2 linked regions of the Lepisosteus oculatus genome follow. The protein of the gene in region 2 interacts with the protein of the main gene of each other region in a pairwise test. Links are inferred from orthologs where the notes say so. Each region holds a gene or a part of one and is shown on either strand. Other genes may lie near its edges.

Region 1 (8,556 bases), on a different chromosome or scaffold from region 2:
CGTTGGATCCCGAGTCCACCCGAACCTTCCCGGGTGGTTTCTTAAATGTTCCACAATGTTTCACGTCTCCCCTGCCCCACGCTCGTCAGATCCCCCGCACACCCGGGTGGGAGGCTCGCTGGGAAACGGCGGAAGGCCCTCCAGCGCAACGGGGACGAAATCGCATTTGCACGGTTCGGCCCGGCACCACGGCACGAAATCGTGTCACCCCGTTGCACGACAGTCCGTACGCGGATGCGGAGGAGGAGGGGGAGCAGTCAGCTCGGGTCTTTTCTAAGTTCTCAGGAGTACAGCGCGGCCTTCATTAAGAGCCGCCGTCCTGCAGCGACGCAATGTGCATGTAGTAGTAGTAGGTCGGTCGCGTCAAAAAAAAAAAAAAAACAGTCTGAAATCAAGCGTTTCTCCCGCAGCAAGACTGTCGGACACGACACTGGCCGCCAGCACCCGTCAACTCCTGTGCGAAAAGCCGAGGCCGCTGCCGCACACGAGAGGTGTAACCGCGGCTGTCTGGGCTGCTTCAGTCGCGCTTCCGAGAAAGAGCGATAGTGAAACCGGCCGGGGGCTCATGGCGGTGCGCGTTATGGCGTCGTTTCTTTTGTGTTAAAATCAACAGCCCCGCCAAGTGCACAAAATAACACGTTAATCCGCGCCCAGATGGGTGTACATCAACGGTTTTTTTTTTCCTTCGGTCTTTTAGCGAGGTGTGTAAACAAAGATAATGCACGAAAAGCCAGCAGGTAGCGTGCTCGACATCACGTTAAAAAACACCGCTACTGTACACAGTTACACAGGCCTTTTCTGATCTCGCCGCTCAAACGCAACGCGAGCTCTTCAAAACGACACACAATTGGAAAAAAAATACCAAGAATGTCCCTTTTCACTAGAACTGGTCTGAAAAATAGAAGAAAAATCCAAACGTGCTAAATATCCCTTTTCATGTTAGAAAATGCACACGCCATACCCCATCTTTACGTAACCAAAAACAAATACAAAATAAGGTGAAGTGATTAATATCAAACCACCAAAACACGGGAGAATAACAAAAATTACCCAAATTAAGGCAAAACAAATCGAACTTACCTTTTAAACACCTACCTAAATCAACACAGTGATTAAAGAGAATGGCGATTAATACTGAAGATAAAGCTAGTCAGTTAAACACGGAAACAGGTATTTCTCTGGGGAAAACGGATTAATTTCTGATTTTTTTTCCCCCCACCTTGCCCTAGGACTCTATGATCTCTGTTTAATCAGAGATTGGGATTTAAAGCGATAGATTCTATCTTATTGTCTCACCCCTGCTCTCCGGGGCAGGGAACCCCCGTCACACTCAACAAACCAATAAAAACCTCACATTGGACAATACTTATTGTGACGCAAAAAGCGAGTGCTTTCCCGCCCGCCTCCCGCGCCGCCGGTCCAGCGCTTCGAGATTATGACGTCACAAAGACCCTCCGATACTACGCGATTATTTATTAATATTTACCTCTGACGTCCTTATCCAGAAGTCCCTCGGTTTAAAACAATAAATAAATTAAACAGTGCAAAAAATTCATAATGTAGCGCTGTGTGAAAACAATAGATTTAGAATAAGACATTAACTAAACCAAAAGCAAGGCACACAAATAACAAGCAGAAGTAATAATAAGCTTTATTATCTGCCAGACACATTCTTGTACACATTTATTATCTACGAATTCTTCTACTTGTGTATCATCATGTAGTATTGCTATTGCTGCAGCCTGTGCCTTTTTTTCCCTGTCTTGGTCACTACTTCCTATTAAATCATTTGCTTGCAATTCTAAAATGGTACAATCAGATTTTAAAAAACGACCTGAATGCAAATTAGAGCGAAAACGGTAACACATAGATTGTACAACTTGATTCCGAGGTTCCAATGTTCAGTTTAAGCCACTTGCTGAACTTCATGCCTTGTGTCAGCCAGTGTCTCTCCTGTCAGCTCTTGAGTAGCTTTTCTCTCTAATGTTCCTCTGTTTACATTTTCTTGAGCCTCCTCCTGTGCCCTCCCCAGTTCTGTGTCTCCTGAATTTCCTCTTCAGACTCCTCCCTCTCCTCTCAGGACGTTTCTGACAGAGAAACATCCAAAGGACCTGCAGTTTCAGTACAGTCTCTGGATAATTAACTCATGACAGTGTCTAGTCCAAAACACAGCTCTATTGAACCACGACTGAAGCCTGTTTTTGAATCTTCTAATGTGGTAACCCTGCATTATGCCACAGTCTCCATCAGGGGTAGGCATCCCTATCGCTCTAGTGTTGTTTGCTGTGTTTATTCCATCTCAGACTTTCATGACTTGAATTAACCAATTAGGTCAGTAAGAAATCAAATCAGCTGTGTTTACAAGGGTTCAATGTTGCCCTTTTCTGAACTTTAGAGTTCCGTGTCTCTGTGTTTAAACCTTGATTCCATGAGAAAGTCAGCAATTAGTGAACTTCAGGGGGACTATAGACAAACAGGGGAGTGAAAGATGTCCCACAGGAGGGTTGCAATTATACAGACAAAAAAGGCACAGATAGTTATTTTTTCTGGGCTGGACATATATAATCCATATGAACTCAGTGAGACCCACCTGTGTTGTTTGATGTTAGTAGTTTCTGAAGAGCATGAAGCACATCAGGAAAGAGCAGTATCTAATGGGCAGTAGTTATCAGCAAAAACACAAAATATGACACTTTAAAATAAAAGATTTTAATCTGGCCGTTCAATGGCAGTTAATTAAATTAATGTTTTAATTTTACTCACATGCTTTTTTAAGAGACAGACTTTAAAAATAAAGCCAATTACAGAACACAATAACAAGTAATGTGATATTTGTAAGTATTCTAGGAAAGGCTCAAATAATAACATACAGAATCACAGAACTGCACACTTAAATTAAACTTTGACCTGTATACATTAACTGTGTAAAAAGCACAATTCTTCCACCATAGTATAGACTAACAATATTGAATAAGTTAAGGAAACAGTATGACATCGTATAAGTTGTGCCTGCAATGCTTGACTGATCAAAGGCAAACATGATCAATCAAAAGATTGTTCATGTTTCAAAGATGGCTAAATTCTAAATAACTAGCATCTCTAAGAAATAAGTAATAGGTTTATTCCATGCTGAAAAAAAGAAGAAAGAGAACACAACGTTTTGGCCGTGGAGCCTTCTTCAGGTGTCTCTAAGAAATGGCTGGACTGTGGATCTGTAACAAGGGGGAAGGGGTAGATGTACCCCTGCAGAAAAGACCAGTCAAGACATGAGCTGCATATAAAACAGCAAGAAACAGCTGAAGTTTTGAACTTTAGGGCTCTCAAGGGGAAAGGCATTTAACTCAGTGTGTTGGTGTGCATACAGTAGCTAACTCATTAAATAGTCTTGACAAGAAACCAGTACTTTTAATGGTTATAAAACAGTTTATAAAAAAATACAAGTGGTTAAAGAAAAAAGTTTAAAGAGAAAAATTTGTATACACAATGAGCTCACAGTAGAACAAACTGGGCATAGTCATTTCTCAGAAAAATGTCTGAAGGAAGATTTTCAGAAAAAGTACAGTAAATGTCAAATATGAAATATGAACATATCTCATCTGTTCTCCTAGGTGAGGTCGTTTGAATTGCAGTGGTCACCTGTTTTGTGACATGCCCAAGTAAATTTTTGCTTTGATGTGAATTTGTGTATCTAAAGGAAATAATCTGAAATACAACCAAATAATCACTGAGGACATATTATTAAAACTAGCTGTTGCTTGCATGAAAAAAAAAAACATTTTAGAGTTGTTTGAAAACTTTGCATTCTTCCCACTTTCAAATGCTTAAAAAATACAAATAGCTGAATTATAAATAAAGAATAAAAGATGTTACTGTCATCAGAAATAAAAATTACGATTGATAATTTTATTTTATTTTTTAAACTTAATTACTGTGCATTGGAAATTGTATATTGTATATTTGTTAGAAGCTGCATGCAATGAAGTTGCATTGTGATTCCAACCAGCAATGGTAAAATCATTATTTTTAATCTTGAACAAAGAAGATTATGAGAGAACCAAACTCAAGACGTCAAAATCTTAAAAAGCCTAGATAAAAGCAGTACTACTGAATGAAAGTCTTCAGAATCAACACTGAAATATGAACCAGAAGGCACAAATAGAAACTACATGCACAGGAAGTGCATTTTAAAACAGAGAACAGGTGGCACTTCCTGCTGTGGGGTGTGGGAGTGTGCAAGAAGCTGCCTAGCCATATCAGCTAGCTACTGAAAAACTGAATTAGACAGAGGGACAGAATGGTCTCTTCTTGTTTGTAACCATTCTAGTATTCTTATATCTGCTAAAGTACAATGATCTGTTTGCATGCTTGTCTTCCTGGTGTCCAAGCCAATGGTGGGGACACAAGCGAACAGTTGTTCACATAGGGGCACCGTGTGATCAATAGCACACATGAAGGTTGGTGACCTTCAACCATCCTTGTAAAAAACAATGTCATTACAAAATGATGAATTGACATATCAGACGAAACATTAACACTCAAACTCACTTCATGCATCACATGTTTAACTTGCATGTTGGGCTATCTCTTCAAGGTGTTTCAGTGTAAGTTAAGATTTTCATTACCAAGTCTTTTGTTGATGTTGGGTATTTTCCAAGCACCACCTTTAAGACCAACTAACAGATTGCTTCAAAGTGTTGGACTGTTAAGTGTTGCTTATTGCCTTTGTTTTGAATTCTAAACTACCACAATGCAAGCGAATTTGCAAAGCCCTGTCATAATAGCGAAATGACCACCTGTTAGATGAAACACCCCCTTTTTTTTAAATGAAGCAAATGCCTGCAAAAAAAATAAGTATAGAAGAACAATTACAAATGTTATTTAATAACCGTCCAATGTCACAAAGGTGTTCTTTGGTCCAGAAACCTTGGGATTCTCAGTTTGTCTAAGGAGGACCCCAGAAAAGGCTTTCTTTTTTTTGCAACCAGTCCTGCAATCCTGGTTTTGTTCTGGTGCCACTTGAAAGCTTATCAGGGCCACCTACAGTCATGCTTTCGGTTGTATAAGCAAGTGTAACCCTTGTTTGTAATAGTTACGAACCGAAATGAAATCCCGTGTTTAAAAATCGCCTTCCGTCTTGCGCAAGACCAGCCGGGGAAACCGGAAAACCATGGGGCGCCATGACCCCCCGAAAGGTGAAGGAGGTCCTGTCACTTTAAAAATCACCTCTGGCCCTGTGAGCAGCCACGTTTCGCCACGTCTCCGCGCCTGCGCAGCGCGGTGTTCCAGTGCTGTTCCGGGGTAGCTGTGTGTGTCAGTGTCCCACAACAAGATCGGTCTGGGGGGGAAAGGGATCGAGGATCGGAGTAACGCTTGGGATCGCAGTACAACCAGCCGCGGCCCCGGTCATTTTCATAACACTAAAGCGCTTCGGCTTGGTGGGGGGAGACATGAATTTCCTGCGGGGAGTGATGGGAGGGCAGCCGGCCGGGCCGCAGCCTTCGGGTGCAGAGACGGTGAGTCTTGTCACGTCGCGGAAAGGCAGGAGCTGGGGTGGTGGTGGGGGTGCTCGGGTCTGGCGCCCCAGTCGAGTCGAGACTGACCCAGCTCCTGTCGGGATTGGCACCGTGGTCTTTTAGAGAGTATACCAGCGTGTCCGTCGGCTCGGTGGGTAGGAGGAGGAGGAGGAGGAGTTGGGGGGTGGGGGGGCGTCGTGCTCGCCGTAATTTCTCCAGCCTGACACAGGAGGGAAAAGGGCAGGAAAAAGTGTTACGATGAGGACTAAGATGCATCCGGGCTGGACGGAGCTAGCTGTGGGAGTGTGGGGGTGGTTTGGTTTGCACCGGGACGGCTCTAGTCAGCCCCAAGGACGGATCGGGATCAAGCCTGGAGCAGCGAACCTGAAAAAAAAACCAACCCATTCGCTCTGTCGTGTCTTATAAATGAGGGGTGTTATGATATTATGATTTATTGCCGCTATAAAGCCGATGCTTATTCGCTTTCTCCTTCATCTCAAATAAGCCTGCTGGTGCTATTATTATTGGGACCCCCCCCACAAACGTCTTAACACTAACAGCACCTGTCACCGCAGGTCAGTCCCGGTCGCTGCGATGGCGTTGACAAAGTGACAGTTAGTGGGATCGTTTCCCAGTCCATATTATCCTCATTTTCTTTATAACCCCCTGTCTCCGCTTGGAGGTACGGCTCAGGCTTTTGTTGGGAGGCGTGAGGATCTGTCGATGGTAGATTGGGTCGCTGTCAGCTGCTCTCAAGATAACGCGTGTAACTGTGATGAAGGAATCGTTTCCTGACGGACTCCTGCTTGTCATGGGTCCGAGCTGTGGCTGGAAAACAAATGCATATCTGTATTGACAAAGGAAACCTTGCATGTTTCTACCTGGGTGCAAAATGCAGTACTATAATAGCCGAAGCGGCCGGAGCGTACCCATGCTTGCGTCTGGGTCATGATAACTGCCATTATCAGATCCGGCGGAAAATTGGGAGGATAAACAACTCTGATTTTGAGCAGCCAGCTGTCTCTGCTATGATGTAGGCTATTTTCAGAATCATCCCGATGCATGACGATTCTGCTTTTCCTTTTCATGTCATGTCCCCTGTTCCTCTGCCGGATTCTGCCTTTTAGCTTTAAAACGGCAATTTAAAAAGGCGTGTTGGTTATCAACACGTTAAGCAACACTTTAAATATCTTTCCTAATCAGTATGATCGAACTTCAGCCTTGTTTTTTTTTTCACATGTCTGTGAACAACGGTTATTACATTGTTTTTGTACTATGGATTGTGTCTTTTGATCCTAGATTTATTTTAACCTTTACACCAGTGAAATGTACATTTGTTTCAGTTTTATTTAATGGAAAATATCTTGATGGTCTGGGTCTCCGTAGCACACTGGTCTTCAGTCCTGGTTACGAAGACCAACAAAACCAAGAGTCGTCAATGATTAAAAACTTGGAAATGGTTATCAATACTAAATAAGTAAATACTTTGGTCGTTGAACTCATAACATGCACAAGTAGAAAACTGGAGTCTTGGGTCCTCGTCTCTTCAGGAATTTGGATTAGAGCTACAAATTCTTAGTACACAAGTTATGCGTTTTACACACAACCAGTTTAACAGTTCAGCTTTGTCTACTAAAACTGGTGTGCCCTGTTTTTATGCTATCAGCTGTTGACAGAGGCATTGACAGTTTTTTTAAACCTTTGTCATTCTTCAGCTGTTAGGGTCTCTTAAAAAGTAGTGAAGACCGACTGTCTTGTTTACATAATATCCCAAAGCAAAAACTGTCTAGATCACACAATACACAGTGTGCTAAGGACATATGTGGCTTTCAGATGTAGTCTTCCTTCAAAGCACAAAACTCTTTGAAACAGTCTTAAGATCCCCTGGAAGTGCATTGTGCATTGCATTGCCCTAGAAAGTATCTTAAGATACGTCTGAAATCTTTGTTTGGGTACAGGACTTCTCGTAGTCTGTTATACAGTACTTTTTGAATGTTCTGATGTAATTATTAGAATACTGTCATTAATCTTGACGGATATATTTAAGCTTTAAGTCCCAGTATTTGCTGTAGACATTTATCTTGTTCTATGGTATGCTCTTATCATATGCTACAACATTCTTCTAGTCCACATGCATTCATAACAGACATTTTTTAATTTTTTCCAAAGTTGGGTGCTGAACGTACTCTGTTTACTGTGAAGGAGACATACTCTAGTGATCTCATTTCAGTTCGATTCAGGTCCCTTGTATGGTCCAGCTTTGTTGTTTATACGTATGAAACGGTTTCGCATCAGGGTTCTCCTTATTACTGACTCTTTTAGTACTTGTTTAAAAATAGTGAAAGGTAATATACAGTACATGGCCTCTATTGTGTGTTGTTCTTTGTGCAGGGCATGTTCATGTTTCATATGAATGAGGAATGCTGTGCATTGATTTGAAAAATACTGATTTCTGTCTTTTTTTTCCCCTTCAAATGCCAGATTCAAAAACTGTGTGACAGAGTAGCTTCATCCACTTTGCTGGAGGACCGCAGGGATGCAGTCCGGGCTCTGAAGTCTCTTTCAAAGGTACGCAGACAGGACCAGATAATAATAATAATAATAATAATAATAATAATATAAAGTCTGAACTCACGGACGGATGTAGACGTAGTTTAAGAAACCTCCAAAAAAATAAACATTTCTTCAACTTGACATATTTTTGTAGTTGATGGTGACTGTTTTTCATTCTCTACTTATATAAACATTTGTGTTGACCAGAATTTTTCATCAGTTTACATGTCTCTTCACCTTGTTTGCTGATTGTCAAGAGAAGTCTTTGAACTATTAATTGTTAACAAAGGGTTTTCTATATCTCTATGAAGTCGCGTCATTCCCTTCCGTTTTGATTAAATCAGCAGCCTGTTGGTCTTGATTTTATTTTCTGATTTTGAGCTCCATTGATCTTGTTTTCTCAGTGGGAGACATGTTTAGGTTGTGATTTGGGATGGATTTCTGCATGACCAATCATTCAAGAGACAGAGGGGTTCATAGGGGACCCATT
Region 2 (8,094 bases):
TCAGACCTGGACTCGGAGATCTGCGCCCCCTGTTCCCCCCACTCCAGCCTCACGCCGACTGCTCTCTGCTCCAGCGAAGGCGATTCCGTCTGGAGCTGCAACAACCGAGACCCGTCCTCCAGGCGTCCGCGCCCGTCTGGCTGCAGACCGGTCTAACTGCGCTCCGGACTGAGATCAGGATTTAAATTCTTCAGCAACTGCGCTTCCGTCGCGTGATGGACTGAATCTTTGAACCCTTGGTCAGAGAAAATCACTAGGTGACCTGCTACAAACTGTTCAAAATCCTCCAAGCCCCTGTCAAAGCTAACCCAGCGGACGTCTTCAGAAAGATTTGAAGTTTTGAAGGGATTTGAGCGCAACACCGGCCAGGGCGCACAAGTGGAAAATACTTGAAAGTGCGTTTAAAAACCGAGAACAGAAGACGGTCATTCATTTAGAGGGAGCTGGGACAAACTACCCAGCCACGCTGTTGAAGCCGATATCACGGTGCCCTTCAAGAAACAGCTGGATGAGACCCTTTTGATCAACGAACTTGCTAACTACCAAACCAGGCCAGACGGGCCGAGCGACCTCCTCTGTTCTTATGGATATGAACTGTATTGTAACTGTAGGGTTCGTGCGATTGTGGTTCAACCCTTTGCCTGTAAGGACGGGAACTGCGTGGAAACTGATACTCTTCTTAGGTTTTTTTTTAACAATCTCATTTCCACCTGCCGCGTCCTGTCTCTCCCTTTCTGATCTCCCTCTTTACTATTCACACTATCACGTGTAAACCACCCGAAAACAAAGGAATGTATATTCACGTGAACCTACCGATAAACCGAAACAGAGAATTCTGTATAACTCAAAATATTTTAAACTGCGTGACTGAAGAAAACAACACTAACACGGGACAATTAGCTCACAGTATCATTATATGCGCGGGTGGCAGCGGTATCACCGGGGCGAGGACAGAGTTAACGGTAATGTTATGCCACTAAATCACATCTAAGCGGGCAGCCTAGTAAATTGAAAACTGCGTTTTCCCCGATTCGGACCGCTTTCCGCTATGTAGGGAGGTCCCTTCTCAGGCCATCAAGGCCCATGGGGGAATGGGGGGCAAGGGACACCATTTTTCTTTGCCCAAAGATATTAGAGAGTCACCTTCTCTAAACTCCTTCAAATCTAGACTCAAAACCTTCTTCTTCAGAAAAGCCTTTACTTAACTGCTTCCATTCTTCACCCCTCTGCTCTTCTTAATACCACCTTCCACGGTCTCCTCTATTGTTATTGTTGTATTGTTGTAATTATAATTGTGTCCTATCTTGTGAAATCTTCTTAATTATTGTTGTAGTCTTCTTATTTATTGTTATTGTCATCCTGTAAAGCGCTTTGAGAAGCCACCTTTAAAGGCGCTATATAAAATAAAGTTTATTATTATTATCCGACACTGGAGGTGGAGGTGATGTGGTCAGTATCACGCTCCGGTCGGCCTATTACCCCACGGTACTCACTCTGAAAACAGAATGAGTGGACCTGGGAGCCGTCTGGAAGGAATTAGAGCAAGCTCCATCGCTGTCCCCTACCTGGGATTGAACCCGGGACCTTCCAGACGGGAGCTAGACGCCCTTTGCTCCGCTTTCTGCCATCTGGTTCTCGTCAATCCCGCTTTCGCGGCACTTCACAGATTCACCACGAGGTGGCAGCAACAGCCTACGCGTTTCCACGTCTTTCTCTCCGGCGCGTTAAACCGGGCGCCCGGTTTGCCAAGAACTCGGCAGCGACCTCGGGCGAGATCAATTACTTAAAAACCGCTTAATCCTTTATCTCGCATACGGGATTGTAAACAGGGGCTTTACGCGAAGGAAAACAGACCTAATAGGATAGGGAAAGGTTACGGAGGACACAATTTCGTCGCCTACCCCAGAAACCTGCGTTTTATAGACATAGAACCAGCAAAGAATGAGAAAAAGCAAGCTCTAGGCACAAATATGTCCATCTGAATTCTAGTGTAAAAAAAATACCCGGACTATTTTTCTAGCCTTGTTGATTACGCGATTGTGGCCACGTAAATGGAACGGGCGACCGGGGCCTGAACCGAGTAATTTGTAATTAACTGGGGGTTGAACTGAGTAATTTCTAGTTAACTGGTGTATCAGCTGACGAGCTCACGGTGTGCGTGGACGGTATGTGGCCAGATGAAATGTGACGTGGACTTGGGAAGATAACAAAAAGCAGATAACAAAAACCATAAACCGTGGATCCGCGACAGCAAACACTGAGGCACTTAGAAAAAAAGACGTTACCTGTAGATGGTTATGTCGAAACGTCATTTTAATCTTCTAGACAATGTGGAGGAGTAAAGAAGGCACACCAAAAAAAACCCGTTAGGACACATAGTTAATAGCATTGAACTGAAATCGGTGGGTGTTGTGTTAAAATGTACAATGCACTAGTAATATTTCATTTAAAATGTTTTGTACAATGTTGGTCACCCAGCAGAAGGGCACCTGGACACAGTCTGGCCTTTAAGGAACGTCCTGCTCAGGCTGAAAGGGAGAAGACTTCTGGAGACCTGATTCAAGCAGTCAAAAATCAACAAAGCTAATGACTAGGTCAACCCAGGGGACTTCAGAGGGCTTCTCCCTAAAAACACGACCGGTGAAACCGCGTAGACGTGTATTGAAAATTAGGAAGAGGAGGCGCGCGTTTACACAAAGAGTGGCGGTGGTCTGCACCAAGACCCATGGCCGTCTTACTCAGCCGATCCACTGGCTGCCCTCCAGAAACCGCGAGAGCGGAACCACAGATCAATTAGCGTGTGACTGGAAGGGCCGAAGGCTCTGGTTCGAAACCTTTGCCATTACTCATCAGAGCGCAAGATGGGCCTCAGATATGTGGATAAAAGCGGATTTTTCAATGAAAAGTTGAACTTGCATTTTTTCAGTTTCAAAACTGCAAACTTTTGTAAGGATGAATGTGGTCACAAATAAGCTTGTTTCTTGATCATCAACGCAACAACAAAAATAACTACTACATGGGTGGCACGTGGTGCATTGGTCAGCATTGCTCCCTCACACTGCTGGGGCCCCGGGTTCGACTCCTGAGGTGCTGTCTGTGTGGAGTTTGCATGTTCTCCCCACATGGGTTTCCTCGGGGTGCTGCAGTTTCCAACGATGTACTGGTAGGCCAATTGCCTTCTGGGAAAATTGGCCCTGGGGTGTCTGTGTGTGAATCGGCCCTGTGAAGCACTGGTGTCCCATGCAGGTCGTACCCTGCCTTGAGCCCATTGCTTGCTGGGATAATAATCATAATAATAATAATAATAATAATAATAATAATAATAATAATAATAATAATAAAAATAATAATAATAAAAGTCTCCTCAGCCTTGCAGATGAAACTTTCAGGACGTCACATGGATCAGCTCTGTCAGCTTCAGGTGTCCAGACAACAGCGGTTCTAGAACATCCAGAGGTGTGCTGTTCTGGAATATCCAGCTAGAACAAGTGCTGTTCTAGAACGAAGCTTCAGGGCACTTCATTCGCCCCTGCAGATCGATGCCGGAGAGGGGCTCTGGGCTGGGGTACGACAGCGTGCAGCCACCCCTCTGCGCTTGCTTTCAGACGATGGGAATCTGGTTGTGCTGACTGAAGCAGATGGCTCCACTGACACAGAAAACAACAGCTGGAGCGTCATGATGAATACACACAGAGCAGAGACCTCCTTTGCACTCACAGCGTGATAATATTCTGATTGATCGCTGCTTAAATAGTTCCTACTTCGGTTCATAGTTAATAATAATAATTCCTTACAATTTTTAGTAGCCCCAATCAGCAGTCAGCAGTCAATGTGACAGCAGTCAGAGCGCACCAGTACACTCACCAAAACACCAGCTCTCAGTGGGGAGGAGAGCAGAGTGATGAAGCCAGTTCAGAGAGGGGGATTATTAGGAAGCCATGATTGGTAAGGGCCAATGGGAAATTTGGACAGGATGCTAAATTTTCGAGCAACGCCCAGGGATTTTTAATGACCACAGAGAGCCAGGACTTCCGAAGGACGGTGCCTTCTTACAGGTATAGCGTGCCTGTCACTGTTATTAGGAGGCCATGACTGGTGAAAATTTGTCCAGGACACGGGCTAACACTCTGTTTTTTCTTTTTGAGAAATACCCCAGGATTTTTAATGACCACGGAGAGTCAGGGCCTCGGTTTTACGTCTCATCTGAAGGACAGCGCCTTTTTTACAATATAGTGTCCCCATCACTGTACTGGGGTATAAGAACCCACACAGACTGCTGGGTGAGAACCCTCTGCTGGCCCCACTAACACCTCTTCCAGCAGCAACCTTAGCTTTCTCATGAGGTCTCCCATCCAGGTACTGGCCAGCCTCACACCTGCTAAACTTCACTGGGCTGCCAGTTGTGAGCTGCGGGGGGATACAACAGCAGCTGCCGAATTCAACAAGCAGTGCTGCTAGTGCTACTGTTCTTTGACACTCTCGTGGTGATACCTGAGGAGCACATGAGCCAAGAACAGATAATCGAATAAATATATCCGATGTTTTCTTAGTGTGGTTTTGTAGAACATCTGAAAAATAATGGTTACCACTCAATAATCCACTAATCTACCGAAGAAAAATGTGATTTTGCTTTACAAGCTTGCAAAGTAGAGAGGTTTTTTTGCCCCACTGCAGAATCGCTGAGCAAGTTCTAGTGATGATGTTAGAAACGAAAAGGGGGTCTCCCCCCGTCTCCCCACCGATTCCAGAATGGAACCGTATCTCTTTAAGAGTCATGTAAACAAAGAGTTTGCGGAATGTTCCTCCGCGGTCGGATTCTGCAACCTTGCGTAGCGCGCAGCGCCCTTGCAGCCCGCGCGAACGGCGCTGCGCAGGAAGCGCAAGGGCCCGACAGCGCCGGGATAACTCGGCGCATGCGCTGTGTCGTGGGGGGGAGTGAGCGAGCTGAGCTGAGCATGAATGGAGCAAAATGGCGGATCATGTGCAGGTAACCAGGGTTTATGTTTTGGAAATGTGAAAACGCTATCCTTAGCGGTGCGTGCGTCTTCATCTAGGGATCCGAGGGACGGGGCGAGGACGCGGTGTGGAAACGGCGGCAGGCGAGGAGGGAAACCCAGGCGCGGTGCAGGCGGCGAGGCGTGTTTTGGATGCGATTGTGGAAGAGTGTTGACTTGTGGCCTGTCATCATGTCCATTGCTTTGACATGATTCAGAAGTGTGGAGAACGGAACGGACGAGATAATATTACGGCGAGGGGGGAGGAAGAGGCGAGCCGTGCGTCCCACGGGGGTTCAATACCGTGCGTCGGTTTCGCCGCGGGGGCGTGAATGTGGAGCCCGGAGCCGGCTGGTGTTGGAGTCAGTCCTTGCAAGTAAACACGACAGCATTGCATTGCTTTAGGTCTGGCCTGCTGCTCGTTTTGGGGGGGGGAGAAATTTATTGTCGTTTTCCAAAGGAGAAACTTTTGCAAACCAAAAACGGATGGAAAAAAAAAAACAAAGACGCATTTTGGCTCGCTGTTTTATTTTTGTTTTTGCGGTATATTTAAAAAAGGGGGAGAGATACACGAGTTGCTGGTTTGCCTTAAAGGAACGTGTCCTCTGACATCAGCCCACTTTCTCTGACTCTCACTTAGGGCAGTAGTTTCGTTTTTGTTGACGACCGGTGAACACGTTAACGTTTCCTTCGCGCTGTAGTGCACACAGCGGGGCGATTATAACACCATTTCTCCAGCTGCAGCTGTTTCTGGTAGAAATTCCAGTGCGATCCCTATTCGTATTCGCGAAAGGCGGTAGAGAGCTGTGCATCTTTGCTCAAACAGCGATGAATAAATAACAGCAAGCGAAGTACCTCGTTTTTTCTTCCTCGTTAGAGAGCAGCGTGCCTGTGTGGTATAATTTAATCACAGTAGACGGAGAGATTGAATTAGTAATGACTAGGCACTGTAATCCCTCGATTTCAGACTTGAACAGGTGGTTAACCCCTCTTTTGAACCGCTGGGGAAATTGCACGCGTTGTGAGTTTCAAATTGATGTCTCTGCGCGAAGGGTACGCCTTCCGTCTCTGTCATCAGCCTCGTCGAGCACGGACGCCGGTTCGGAAAAAAAGAAGGAAAGCTGCAAGAAATGTTGTTGTTGTTTTTTTTTTTAAATTGTTGGGACGCAAAAAGTAGGATCATGGCGGTAATCGACGTTAACGTCAGCTGACTCTACAGCGAGGCCGGTTCCGGCTGTGTTTTCAACGGCTGTCGCCATGTGACGTTAGCGCGATAACTGCTGCCGCGGGGTGGACTTGTATCCTGACCGATTGACAGAAATGTCGAAATGCGTGCTGTTCATTACGCCAGGCGGTCATCTCAAAGTGGCGGTAGTCGTTAAATGCATGCACGTTTATGCCGCCTCCGAGTGATTGTTTGTTAAGGTCACTGTAAAGGGGTCACGTCAGATTCAGCGAGTCTTGTTTACCGACTGTGGGGTGTGTTGGGAAATGTGTATGTGTGCGGAGGGTTAGGGGTGCGTTTATCGTGCGGTAGCTTTGTTGGTTAACAACGGAAGGGTTGCCCTTAAAGGACCTGATTGTGGAATTGCTTTCACAGACTGACAGGAAATCGCAGTGAGTTTGTAGAAATGGGTAAAGTGCGCAGAACAACAATTGCCTGTTTCAGTTTCAGGTGTCTGAACGCAGAAAAAGGTCATTCGTATGATGAGGACCTTTAAATGTTTTGCCCGGCATTGTATTTAACCTAGCACTAGGAGAAATGTAGCTTAGACTTTTTCTATGAAGCTGTTCATGTTTGGATCACCAGTTATACATAATGACAGCTCTAGTATAGTAATAGTTGCTTGCTTGCCCACTTGGTTGACACACAGCAGTCATTCTGCACCAGCAGCCCCACCTGGGAGAGACACAGTGGTCATTCTGCACCAGCAGCCCCACCTGGGAGACACACAAGTGGCCATTCTGCACCAGCAGCCCCACCTGGGAGAGACACAGTGGCCATTCTGCACCAGCAGCCCCACCTGGGAGACACACAAGTGGCCATTCTGCACCAGCAGCCCCACCTGGGAGACACACAGTGGACATTCTGCACCAGCAGCCTCACCTGGGAGACACACAGTGGTCATTCTGCACCAGCAGCCCCACCTGGGTGACCCACCTGCACTGCAGATCAGGAAGAGGACTGAGAAAGTGCCTCACTTCTTTATATCAGGGGTAACCGTATTGAGGTCAAATTGTTCAAGTCTGGAGTGGAAGTTAAACAGAGCCCTGGGGTTAACCTTAGCTACATTTTCCTCTCGTCCAACAAGGGGGGGGACCGTATACTCTTAGCACATATGCGCTTAGTAGACAGCCTTGTTAAAGTGACTGAGGAAACTGACATTGTGTGTGAACAGTCTTGACACAATAATGTCCAGATAGATGAATTGCTCTTTCCTGTGGAAGCCTTCCTAATTCAAATGGCATTGTTACGAGTCACACGGGCCCTCCTGGTCCACCTCACTGCAGGGGGTCGCAGCAGGCAGCTCCCGGCTGCAGTGGGCGAGAGAGGGCGTCTCGTTCGGAGGGAGTGCTGGCTCCCAGCAGCGACAGCCCAAGTGAAAAGAGGAAAAGCTCACAGGCCTCAGCAGTGTTGTAATTCGACCATGACGTGCTGGAGCAAGAGCTGTTGAGAAAGTGAGCCGGGATCCTTCATTAACTCACCGGCACTCGCTTTTTGTAGGCCTGCGTTTCATCAGCAGCCATACCGGGCAAGCCATTGACTTTCAACAACAAAGCCGAGGTGAGGGATTATCGTGGTTCTGTATCAGGGTGTTAATCTGTATGCAGTAATTAAGTTAATCTGCTTTGCGGTTCGAACAGCCTTTTGATGTTCCGCTATGAATAAAATATTTTCTCAGGGTTTTCCTTTCACCCGTCAGTGTTCAGTTTGGCTCCTCCTGCCACAGAGCTGTCAGGTCTCGTTGCCTTCACGGTGCTGGGATAGAGACCACGCTGGCTGTTGGGGGAACAGACTGGTTTTATATCCTGGACGGAAACACAGAAACAGGGCGGGATTCCGTCTTCACCTTTTCTCCGCTTTTGTATCTTTTATTCC

Evidence for each region. The genes of interacting proteins can lie anywhere in the genome.
Region 1: the proteins of xpo7 (region 2) and uso1 interact in binary tests that used the Homo sapiens proteins (3 or more experiments, as listed by UniProt). The two-hybrid records come from large-scale screens. The link is inferred for Lepisosteus oculatus from reciprocal best matches to the Homo sapiens genes XPO7 and USO1.

Annotation. Positions count from the first base shown.
Region 1 is NC_090696.1:72,270,676-72,279,231, forward strand, and holds the start of uso1 (general vesicular transport factor p115), read left to right. Parts: upstream 1-5,259; 5' UTR 5,260-5,447; coding exon 5,448-5,513; intron 5,514-7,994; coding exon 7,995-8,081; intron 8,082-8,556. UniProt on the Homo sapiens protein: General vesicular transport factor required for intercisternal transport in the Golgi stack; it is required for transcytotic fusion and/or subsequent binding of the vesicles to the target membrane.
Region 2 is NC_090697.1:74,312,859-74,320,952, forward strand, and holds the start of xpo7 (exportin-7), read left to right. Parts: upstream 1-4,879; 5' UTR 4,880-4,969; coding exon 4,970-4,987; intron 4,988-8,094.